Linked DNA regions of Saccharomyces cerevisiae S288C. Changing the gene in region 3 together with the main gene of any one other region gives a genetic interaction. Each region holds a gene or a part of one and is shown on either strand. Other genes may lie near its edges. The genes, in order: ATC1, BIT2 and CSS3.

What was found.
Region 1: mutations in CSS3 (region 3) and ATC1 together harm fitness more than expected from each alone (negative genetic interaction), as found in Saccharomyces cerevisiae (2 studies listed by BioGRID).
Region 2: mutations in CSS3 (region 3) and BIT2 together harm fitness more than expected from each alone (negative genetic interaction), as found in Saccharomyces cerevisiae (2 studies listed by BioGRID).

Annotation. Positions count from the first base shown.
Region 1 is NC_001136.10:830,115-833,351, reverse strand, and holds ATC1 (Atc1p), read left to right. Parts: upstream 1-1,838; coding exon 1,839-2,723; downstream 2,724-3,237. Other genes in the region: SND1 (Snd1p), read left to right, coding at 1-493; UPS3 (Ups3p), read left to right, coding at 879-1,418; PLP1 (Plp1p), read right to left, coding at 3,075-3,237. UniProt on the Saccharomyces cerevisiae protein: Involved in cation homeostasis and in the regulation of the cation stress signaling cascades. Also involved in bipolar budding.
Region 2 is NC_001134.8:742,205-746,081, forward strand, and holds BIT2 (Bit2p), read right to left. Parts: upstream 2,195-3,877; coding exon 557-2,194; downstream 1-556. Other genes in the region: SDH8 (Sdh8p), read right to left, coding at 1-372; EFM2 (S-adenosylmethionine-dependent methyltransferase), read left to right, coding at 2,648-3,877.
Region 3 is NC_001147.6:16,633-19,425, forward strand, and holds CSS3 (Css3p), read right to left. Parts: upstream 1,165-2,793; coding exon 649-1,164; downstream 1-648.

The DNA.
Region 1 (3,237 bases), on a different chromosome or scaffold from region 3:
ATCAGTTAACCTTTTTAGCACCTTGATGAATGGTAACATGGAAAAGAATGGTTTGGCACTAAACTTCAAGTCCAGAACGCCTACAGATGCGTTGATGGCGAATAGCATTAAAAATAGTAACAATTCCAGTCATAGGTTACTAAATCTCGAGGAAGAAGACCAAATCATGTCTGGATCTCTCCCCAAAGAACGCGAGGACGATAACGATTCGACTAATAGCACAATAGTACCGAATCACCCAGACAATGATAACTATAATGATAATGATAACGACAATAATACTGGTATAAATTCCAATAATTTCAATCTAAATCTCTATGATGACAATGATAGTGCAGGCTTTACAGATGTAACAACTGAAGGAGTGAAATACTCAAACTCGAATTCTACAGTCACCAAACCCGTTTATAAAAAAGCCGTCACCCTGGATTTATACGGCGAAGATGATATGGATAACATGGGAGGATGGGTATTAGGAGGTAATGCCCGGTAAAATAATCACCTGAAAAAAACTAGGTTAAGCACAAGGCAAGGGAAAAAGCCAAATTACACATATACTTGATTATAAATAGATTAGTAAAACATATATTCTAAATTAAAACAGCACTTTAACCGATATTGTATTTTTTTTTTTGGGTTTACGTGATACTGCGTAAATCTTCAATTTTCAGGGCTTTGTCCGCAAGGGGCCCGTTTATTTATCAAAAAAAGTAATGAGATTTTCGAAGAAAGTTCATAAACCTATAGATCTTGTTACATTTGGCAAGAAAACAATAAGTGGGATCTGCGGTCCAAGCAACGCATTTTCTTTTCTCTAATCGACAAGTTCAAGTAAATATTTCTATTAGTCATATATCTCTCGAGCTTATATATTAATAATGAAATCATTTCAAAAATCTTATGAATTCGATTACCCATGGGAGAAAGTCACCACGGCGAACTGGATGAAATATCCAAACAAGATCTCCACACACGTTATTGCAGTCGATGTGCTCCGCCGAGAGCTCAAAGAACATGGCGATGTACTTCTTACAGAACGGCTGATAACCATACGTCAGAACACCCCTCACTGGATGTCCATTTTAGTGGGGAACACTAATTTAGCATACGTGCGAGAGGTCTCCACCGTTGATCGAAGGGACAGATCTTTAACTATGAGGAGTTGCAATATGACCTTCCCGCATATTTTGAAGTGTTACGAAACCGTACGTTATGTTCCTCATCCGAAAAATCCATCGAATGTGACTCTTTTCAAGCAGGATGCAAAGTTTCTGTCTGGTGTTCCGACCAAAACCTTTAGTGAGAAAGTAGAAAACTGGGGCGTTAAACGTTTTAGTGATAACGCGGTGAAGGGGAAAGTCGGGTTTGATAGTATTCTAGCAATGTTCAACGATATCTGGAAAAATGCTAACGAATAAAAAAAAATACATCTTTTCTCAAGCATTTTTTCTCAAGCATTTTTTCTCAAAAAAATAAGGATTTATAGCCTCTTTGCATATAACTACACTCAGAAACTCAAAAATAAGTGAATAGATTAATTTGCCAAAATAGTTTCTATAGCGTGTCTTTCTCTTTTTGCAAACTCGTGTCATCTTGATATAAATCAAATATTTTCTGTCATTTTTTTTTCTCTTTTTTTTCAGTTTCTAGAATTTTTTTTTTCCACTTTAGCGATGAGATGAAAAATTTCCAAAAAACATGCGGTACGGTATTTTCAATGAAAAATTTCAGAGGGCTAGTGCCCTATTGAAGAGCTCAATACTTGATTGAAGTTTTGACATCTTAAATTTTGTTGGTTCAAGTTACACTAAGGTTGTGATAGGGAAAACGTGAAGATAATGAACACGAATCAGTCCAATCCGAATACAGATTTAACAGATGATGCCAATATAGAACATACGTTGCATCGGCTGCTCACTCAGGCAAATAATCATTTTGATGATACAGTAAAGATTGATGGGCAGAGTTTAGATTTGGGAAAGGATCTCGAACAAGTTATGATGGATAATTTAGACTGCACTGATATTTTTGATTCCGACATCGCTTCTCAGAAACACCTAACATTGGAATCTTTATTTAACGATGAACACAACACCGATTCGAGCACACTTTTGGAAATGCAGAGAAGTGCTAATGATAGCCTAGTTGGTATTGATCTCGATAGGCATAAAAAGGGTTATACTGGCAAGGCATCATTAGATAAAAGTACAAACCAAAATAACGTACATAAACCTGATAAAGAACAAAAGAACTATAAGATAGATAAACCCACCATCAAGAAGAAAAAATCCCTTTTGAAAACCACAAATGAACCCATGTTATCCCCTGCATCCCTATCACCTTCATCTTCGTTAGCTTCATCCGACGCTAATGAATCCCACCTAAAAATAGAATCCATGATTACTGATATAACATCTAAAATAGATTCTGCAAGACAAGACATTGTATCTGCAACGAAGCCTGCTAAGTTCACAAATGAGTTTACAATAAGTCAAATTTCGGAAATGAAGGCAAGAATAATTAATACTCATAAATTGCTGCTCAATTTCAATTTTATTAAAGAAGGTTACGCGAGATCTTGTATTCAATTGAAAAAATCTATGGACTCTTTAAAGGATAGTGAAATTCACAGAGCACATTTATTGGTTGAGAATGATGACTTGAAGCAACAAATCCTAGAACTTACTCAAAAACTCAATGAAAAATCATCCAAGGAAAGTTAAATTTAGAGTTAGTTCTGCTAAGTTTATCTGCATTTATTGGTTTTTTTGTCTTTACTACAAAGATGGTCCAATTTTATATACAATATACACTACCTTTCTCAGTCATCGTTATTCGTACTCAACTTTTATTATTTTAAGGAACACAGTCGCATTTTTGAGTTTCATGTATAAACATTACTATACGCATATTTCGTATTTAACTTTCTATAAATCCCCCAAAACGTTTTATTAAATTTTCAACGGTACGCTCGAATAACCGATTTAGTTTGAACAGGAGGAACCATTTTCGCTCATGCGTATGGCTTAAAAGACCATCGAGTCATTTTTAGTAGGGAGGTAATGGTTATTTAGTTATATATCTAAATCACTATCACTTTCACTTCTATCATGATTTGTAGAAGCGAAGCGTTCCGTATTCACAGATGAATGCTTTCTTATTTCGAATGTGTCTTCTATAACACCTGAATGGGCTAAAGATTGCTCTAGCCTCCTAATATCAAACCCATTAGGGTCA
Region 2 (3,877 bases), on a different chromosome or scaffold from region 3:
CAACGGGTCCTGCTTGGGACCCCCAACTTCACCAGTCTTGGGGTTAACATCACCTTCGAATTCAGGTATGGTCTTGGAAAATTCAGGCGAGAATGACCCAATATCGTTTTTGGTTAAAAGCGGTGAATTCAAACTCTCCTTTGTACGATCGCCGGTGGCCTGCGCATTATACTGATCTATTGCCTCTTGCGATGTGGCAATCCTCTGAAGTCTTTCGAACTCTTCCTGCTCTTCTCTTGGCAGCTTGGGAGGGCCGGGGATCCTTTCAGTAGTTATTTTTCGGGTGGCCATATTAAATGGTCGTCCACGTAGTAGATTTAAGGCTCCCGTGCGAGGATACCGATAACCTGTGCTTTTGATGGCGCACAACATTAGTTCTTCTTTTTATTATTTGGTTCTTTCTGACTCTTTAGCAAGTTAATATGATCTGCACTTTCCCCATTGGCCCCTTTATAGGGCGGAAAAGAGCATCTGTTTTTCCGGATTCTTGGAACAAGAAAAAGGAAATACACCTATCTATATGCCACTATTGTATATTACTAAATAAAATATTTAATTATATACTCATGCGTATGCCCTCAAGAAGTTCACCAATAATTCTTTGGTTTCTGCTGTTACCTTTTATGGTATTCAGGATCCCAAAACACTGCAGCAGCGTCAGTTTATCTTCCTCTGTGACGCCGTTCTGTTCTTCCTCGCTGAAAATATATCTTTGAAAACTCTTACTGGCACCGTCATTTGTATGTAGGAAGCTTTCGTAATACGGAAGAATGATGGAGTCTCTAAAACACTTTAATAAAAGGACATCAATTGACGGTGCGTACCTTGAAGGTTCAGATAGATATCCGTCAAGCCAGTAGTTACTATTTTTTTGGAAGCTTTTCTCGAAGGGCAGTAACACTGCCATCATGTCGTAGTAAACCTGTTGGTAAAACACCTTCCAGATTATGCCGACTCTTTTCAAAGCCGTATTTACGGTATCCTCATTGGCATAATTGAACACAATCTGGTTCTCTAAAATGTAAAGTGAAGTGGTAATGAATTCCTCGATTTCGGCCAAAAACCTTGAGTGCGTTACGGCAGCCTTGGTTTGTGTTTTCAAAGTGATATAAAATTCCAGCAGCCGGTCAATATCTTCTATTTTTGCTGGCAATTGCCATACCCTCTTGTTTTTAAATAGCTCCACAACTATGCTGCAGTATATACCCCAGATATTCCCCTCCAGAACAAATAACTCCTGTACGGTGAAGCTTTTATAGTTTGCTATCAAGGATGGCAAGTTTTTCAGTAAATCATGTAGTAAAGAAACATTAGTCGCGTCGAAAGCATCATCTTGGATCAGCGATAGAGCTGTATCATTAGGGTTGTTGTTAATGCTAGGGTTAAAGGAATATACAGATTTTCCAGAGTCAATAAGGCCTCCAGTAGAAGTATGGATAAACTGTACGGGTGACCTATGTTTACCATATGAAGAATGCAGAAATTTACTGAATGGGCTGGGAACTACGGGTTCAACGTCGTCTTTACCAATGGAATTATGCGGCTTGTAGGGTAAAAGCTTTTTTGCCATTTTGCTAAAGACATTACTGCCTTTGTTTGAATGAGAATGTCCTGTAGACAGTGAAGATTGTAAACTGTTCACACTCATATTAGATTTCGTATGAAACAATTTAGAGCCACTCCTACTTATGTTGTTACTACTTGTGCCGGTAATAACAGTGCCGTAGTTTTTTGACCCGCTCCTGCTTCGATTTCTCATATTATCTTTTGAATTGGTGAAGATGGACAGTCGCCTTTTATTGCCCCTTGAGTTGGAAGAAAATAAACTATCATTAGACGTGGTGTTCCCCTCCATTCGGTTACTACTTGATGAACCTATTTCGGAGTGACCATCGTTATTCTCCGTGCCTTGGCTGTACTCCTCTTCAATCGAATCCGTCGAGCGCCTTGCATTGGAACCATCATGGAATATAGATTGAAACCCCACCTGTGACCATCTAGGAGCGGCATCATGAGGAGATTTGGATGTTTTTAGATGCACATCTTCGTCGGGATGTGTCAGCGCTTGCGGTACTATATCAGAAGAAACACTATAAACTCTAGCTGGTTTGCGATTAGTTGCTTTTATGTTCGGGTTCGTGACGCTCAGTGAGCCTGAGGTAGCACTTCTTTTACGATTTAGGTCTGTTGCCATTGCTTGACTCTGTAGTTTAAGACTCGCCTAGCCACTTATGCTTATTGTGGTTTGTATTTTTTATTTACTGTCTTCTATCTTTCTCCCTTTAATTTTGACCTTATTTTAAAGCCCGCAAAGATCGCTGAAAAATTGCTAGTAAAGGTCGCATGCAAAATGGATAAAGTGCTCTTGTCAAATTATTTCAACACCTTCATTCGCAGTATAGTGGTATATTGGATTGGGTAAAGGAAAACAGGCGACACCAATATTGGTTTAAGCTAGTAGCGTATGCAGCTCTATCCAGGCATTAAAATTGGTTCACCTATTTCTGATAGTAGTTTTTTTTTTTCCAATCGTAAATTTTTTCTTCAATTTCGCGATGAGCTACAAAATAATAGTAGTGCAATCTGTATATTACTTTTCAAGTATCTAACTCATGCAAGTTAGGAGTTCCATAGCGGATATTTCACTATGTTTGATCCTCTCGATTTGTACACCCCTGATGACATCCAGGTTGAGGCTTTACAGTTCAATCTAGCAGAGAGAGAGCCAAAAGATCCTTGCTCACCGCAACGTGACGAAATATTAACGGCTGTAGATGAAGAAGAGAGTGACGACGATGACACCATTATCGATAATCTGGATCTGCCCTCCGTGAAGTATGCTCCGCCAGAAGTTATCCTTTGTATACTAATACTTCTGAAGCCCGATAGACAAGTAAACTTCAATCAGGAGACAGGGAAGAACAAATCTGTACTGGAGGTTTGCAAGAGTCATGGGCTGGAACCCGATCTGCTGAAAAGACTTTTGACTTGGTATACAGAAGAATGGCCTAACAAGAGGTTAAACTCGTTGGAAAAGATATGCAATAAAATCCCAATGCTGAGATTTACAGTATCCAAAGAACTACTGTTGGGCTACTATACTAGTGTATTGAAAAAATACAATAATAGTTGCGGATTGAATGAGGAAATCATACAAGAACTTCTTAAGGAATTGAGCTCAAGGATATCCGAAAACTGTGGGAGAACGGCCCAACCATCCATAGTAAGATATTTTGAATTAAGAAATCTAAGCACTTCCATACCGCTTCATGAACCCTCTTTAACGGCCGATAATCTTGGTTGGAAAACATGGGGATCATCTTTAATACTTTCACAATTAGTCGTAGATCACCTGGATTACCTACATACCACTAATGTGAACATGTTAGCGAACAGCGACATCAAACAGATTAAAGTATTAGAATTAGGAGCGGGCACTGGTTTAGTAGGACTTTCATGGGCCTTAAAATGGAAAGAACTTTATGGAACTGAAAATATAGAAATCTTCGTGACGGATTTACCCGAGATTGTGACGAATTTGAAGAAAAATGTGTCATTAAATAATTTAGGAGATTTCGTTCAAGCAGAGATATTAGATTGGACTAATCCTCACGATTTTATAGATAAATTTGGACATGAAAATGAATTTGACGTCATATTGATCGCCGACCCGATATATTCGCCTCAGCATCCGGAATGGGTAGTTAACATGATATCGAAGTTTTTGGCGGCATCAGGGACCTGTCACCTAGAAATACCTTTAAGGGCAAAATACGCCAAAGAACGAGAGGTTTTGAAATTATTACTAAAAGAGAGTGATTTAAAAGTAGTTGAAGAACGGCATTCAGAGGGTGTGGATGATTGGGGTGCCGTTAAG
Region 3 (2,793 bases):
GAAATGTCAGAGGGATGATTCTGACGATAGACATTTTTCTGATGAACTGTTGCGTACGCACGCATAAAAACAGTATAACTTTAGGTGGTAGCGGTAGTGTCGACTTTTATTGGAATGAGAATTAACTATCATATATCGACTAGTATCCATAGTACGTGTATATTATCGTATACAACGTAAGAAAGACATAAATATTGAGAAACAGTCAACGATTTTAGTAGAGGTTGAAACGCGAGGCTTGATAATTTCATGGGATAATGAATGACGGTATATAAAATGAAAGAAGATGTAATAATATTCATTATCATTCAAACTTTATCTCAGCCCATCCTCATCTTTTTCAGTACTGTATGTGAACTCGTCCACAAACACCGTATAGCTACGTCCTCTTTCATTTTCAGGTATGTATCAGCTTCTTGCATCACGCCACCACTAGCACAACGAAAGTATACAATACAATGTCATTAACCCTAGATGCTGTTGTTCCTCGATGTTGTGTATACATACATTAACTCGAAAGTGCGATGTTAATGATGTCCCAGTGCTATATAATAAATCTACAAACTAAAAAATCTTGATCACATCAACCAAAAATGTATCTTACTGCTAAATGTGTCATAAAAGGGTTCCAGTATCCTTACTACACCATTATATAGAAGACTCTTTATAATTTCTTCCGTCAGAATAATTACTTATCAATAGATTGTTTAACGTAGGAGGAGTTGGATGAGCGCAAGCATTTGTTGAGTTATTCGCAACTGGATGAACATAATGTCCTTCTTCATCATATACACGCATTACCAAATCCATTATATCTGTACAATAATCAGTCTCAGAATTATATGGCTCAGGTCCGTTATAAGTCGATAGATCTAGGTTACTGTACTCATAAGAATCTGTAATAGCCTCCAACTCAACTAAGGTATCCCTATAAATCAAAGATTGCTGATCGCCGGGTTCAAACCGTCCCGTTCTAAGTGTTCTACCACTTTTATCAGAATAAATATCATAGTAAGATGCTTGGAATAGCCAGCATATTTGATTGTTTGTCATATTAGTTGGCAAGTTGAAAAATACTTGGTAACCGCTGGTGATATCAACATATGCGGAGCATAATGAGTACAATTGAGAAAAAATGCAAAATAAACCAAATAAGGGAACCATTTTTTACTAAGCCTCTCTACCCTTTTAAAAATGGTTTTGACTTCAAACGCTTAGGAAGCAAACATGCTACTGCTATTTTTTGTCCAAAATTTTTATCCTTTATAGTTAATGTTTTTAGATATTGCGCGGATCCATTTAAAAGCAATTTTAGTTTGGTTACATAATGTTCAGACATGTATTTTAAAAGGTTAAGCGGCGTGCCTTAAAGCATTTTACTCCCGAGTTTGATTGACTCGCTTATGTTCATAGGTATATTAAACAAGAATTATGGAGAAAACAGTCTTTAACGTGTATTTTTAAATCTATATACATAAACCGTAGGACGCGGCATTCGACTGCTTTGATAAGAATTCAAAAGTTAGTGTCCGGAAATCTATTTTTAGTAAAAGTAATAATGTTATTTGTACAGAGTATTGCAGAAGTTCTCTTTTAGAGTGTTATGAATTCATGAAATCGAATCTATAGCTTGCAATATAATCAATGCCATAATACTACTGTTGAAATAGAGAATTTGGTGAATAATTGGATAATTGTTAGGATTTTCATTATTATTGAAGGCTATAATATTAGGTATGCAGGATATGCTAGAAGTTCTCCTCAGATATATAGCAATTCATGAAGGATCGTCGATTATTCTATAGAATAGTATTATTACTTCACTTTCCATTTTATATGTTGTGATTCATTATCTTATTACATTCCTAATTCTTGAGTGTCAGCTTTCACTAAATTTCATGGCTGTTTCTCTATCTTTATGTCGCCTTCACTTATTTCTACACTCCTCAAGATTAAGTATCTAATTTTTGTAGGAAAACGACACTGCAAAGAGTGGATCAATATATAATAACATGTTTTAAATAAACGTCTACTTATGATGGAAAACATTAACTTGTGAGTTAGGATTTTTTGTATATGAGATATTTTAAAGAAAATTTAGTTCCAAAGGAGAAAATGACTTGCACAAAAATGACATGGGCAAAATACCTAATATTAAATGAGCTCTATCTACAATCCGTGCAGCTATACATACTTTCACGCTTGTTATACATTAATCAGCGAACCATTATAAGTATGGGGCCACTAATATTTCATATATTCTCTGATCTGAGACTGTTGGAGTCGATTTCTCGCACAATCAGCACTGGTTAAAATTTCGTGGGGTTACTGCTTCTTTTAAGTCGGTCAATGTTTTCTTCATTCTTTCGAACTTTGAATATTTTTTATGACGTCAATTATAAGAAGTATGAAAGTCAGGTTAGCAACAGCTAAAACTAAATAATAAAGGGCTCAAGCAGGCTTACGGCAGGTGGTGATTATATTTACACTACTAATTTTTTTTAATTCGTTTACGCTCTAGTAAAAGTTCTTCGCAACATTTTTTTTTATATTTCTTTATAAAAACTACGGGAAATGACAGGTGCGAATAATCTCATTGATTTTTGTATTGTCAAGCCCATTTAAGACTATAATATTGCTGAAATAAACGTAACAAACGTATGGATATTCACTTAGTTAGAAAAGAAAAATAAAATAAAACTAATTCGAACTTTTTGTTGTTTTTTATTTCAGACAACAATATTATACTGTTACACGCCATTATTGATTACTACTTACATTAACAGTGATTAT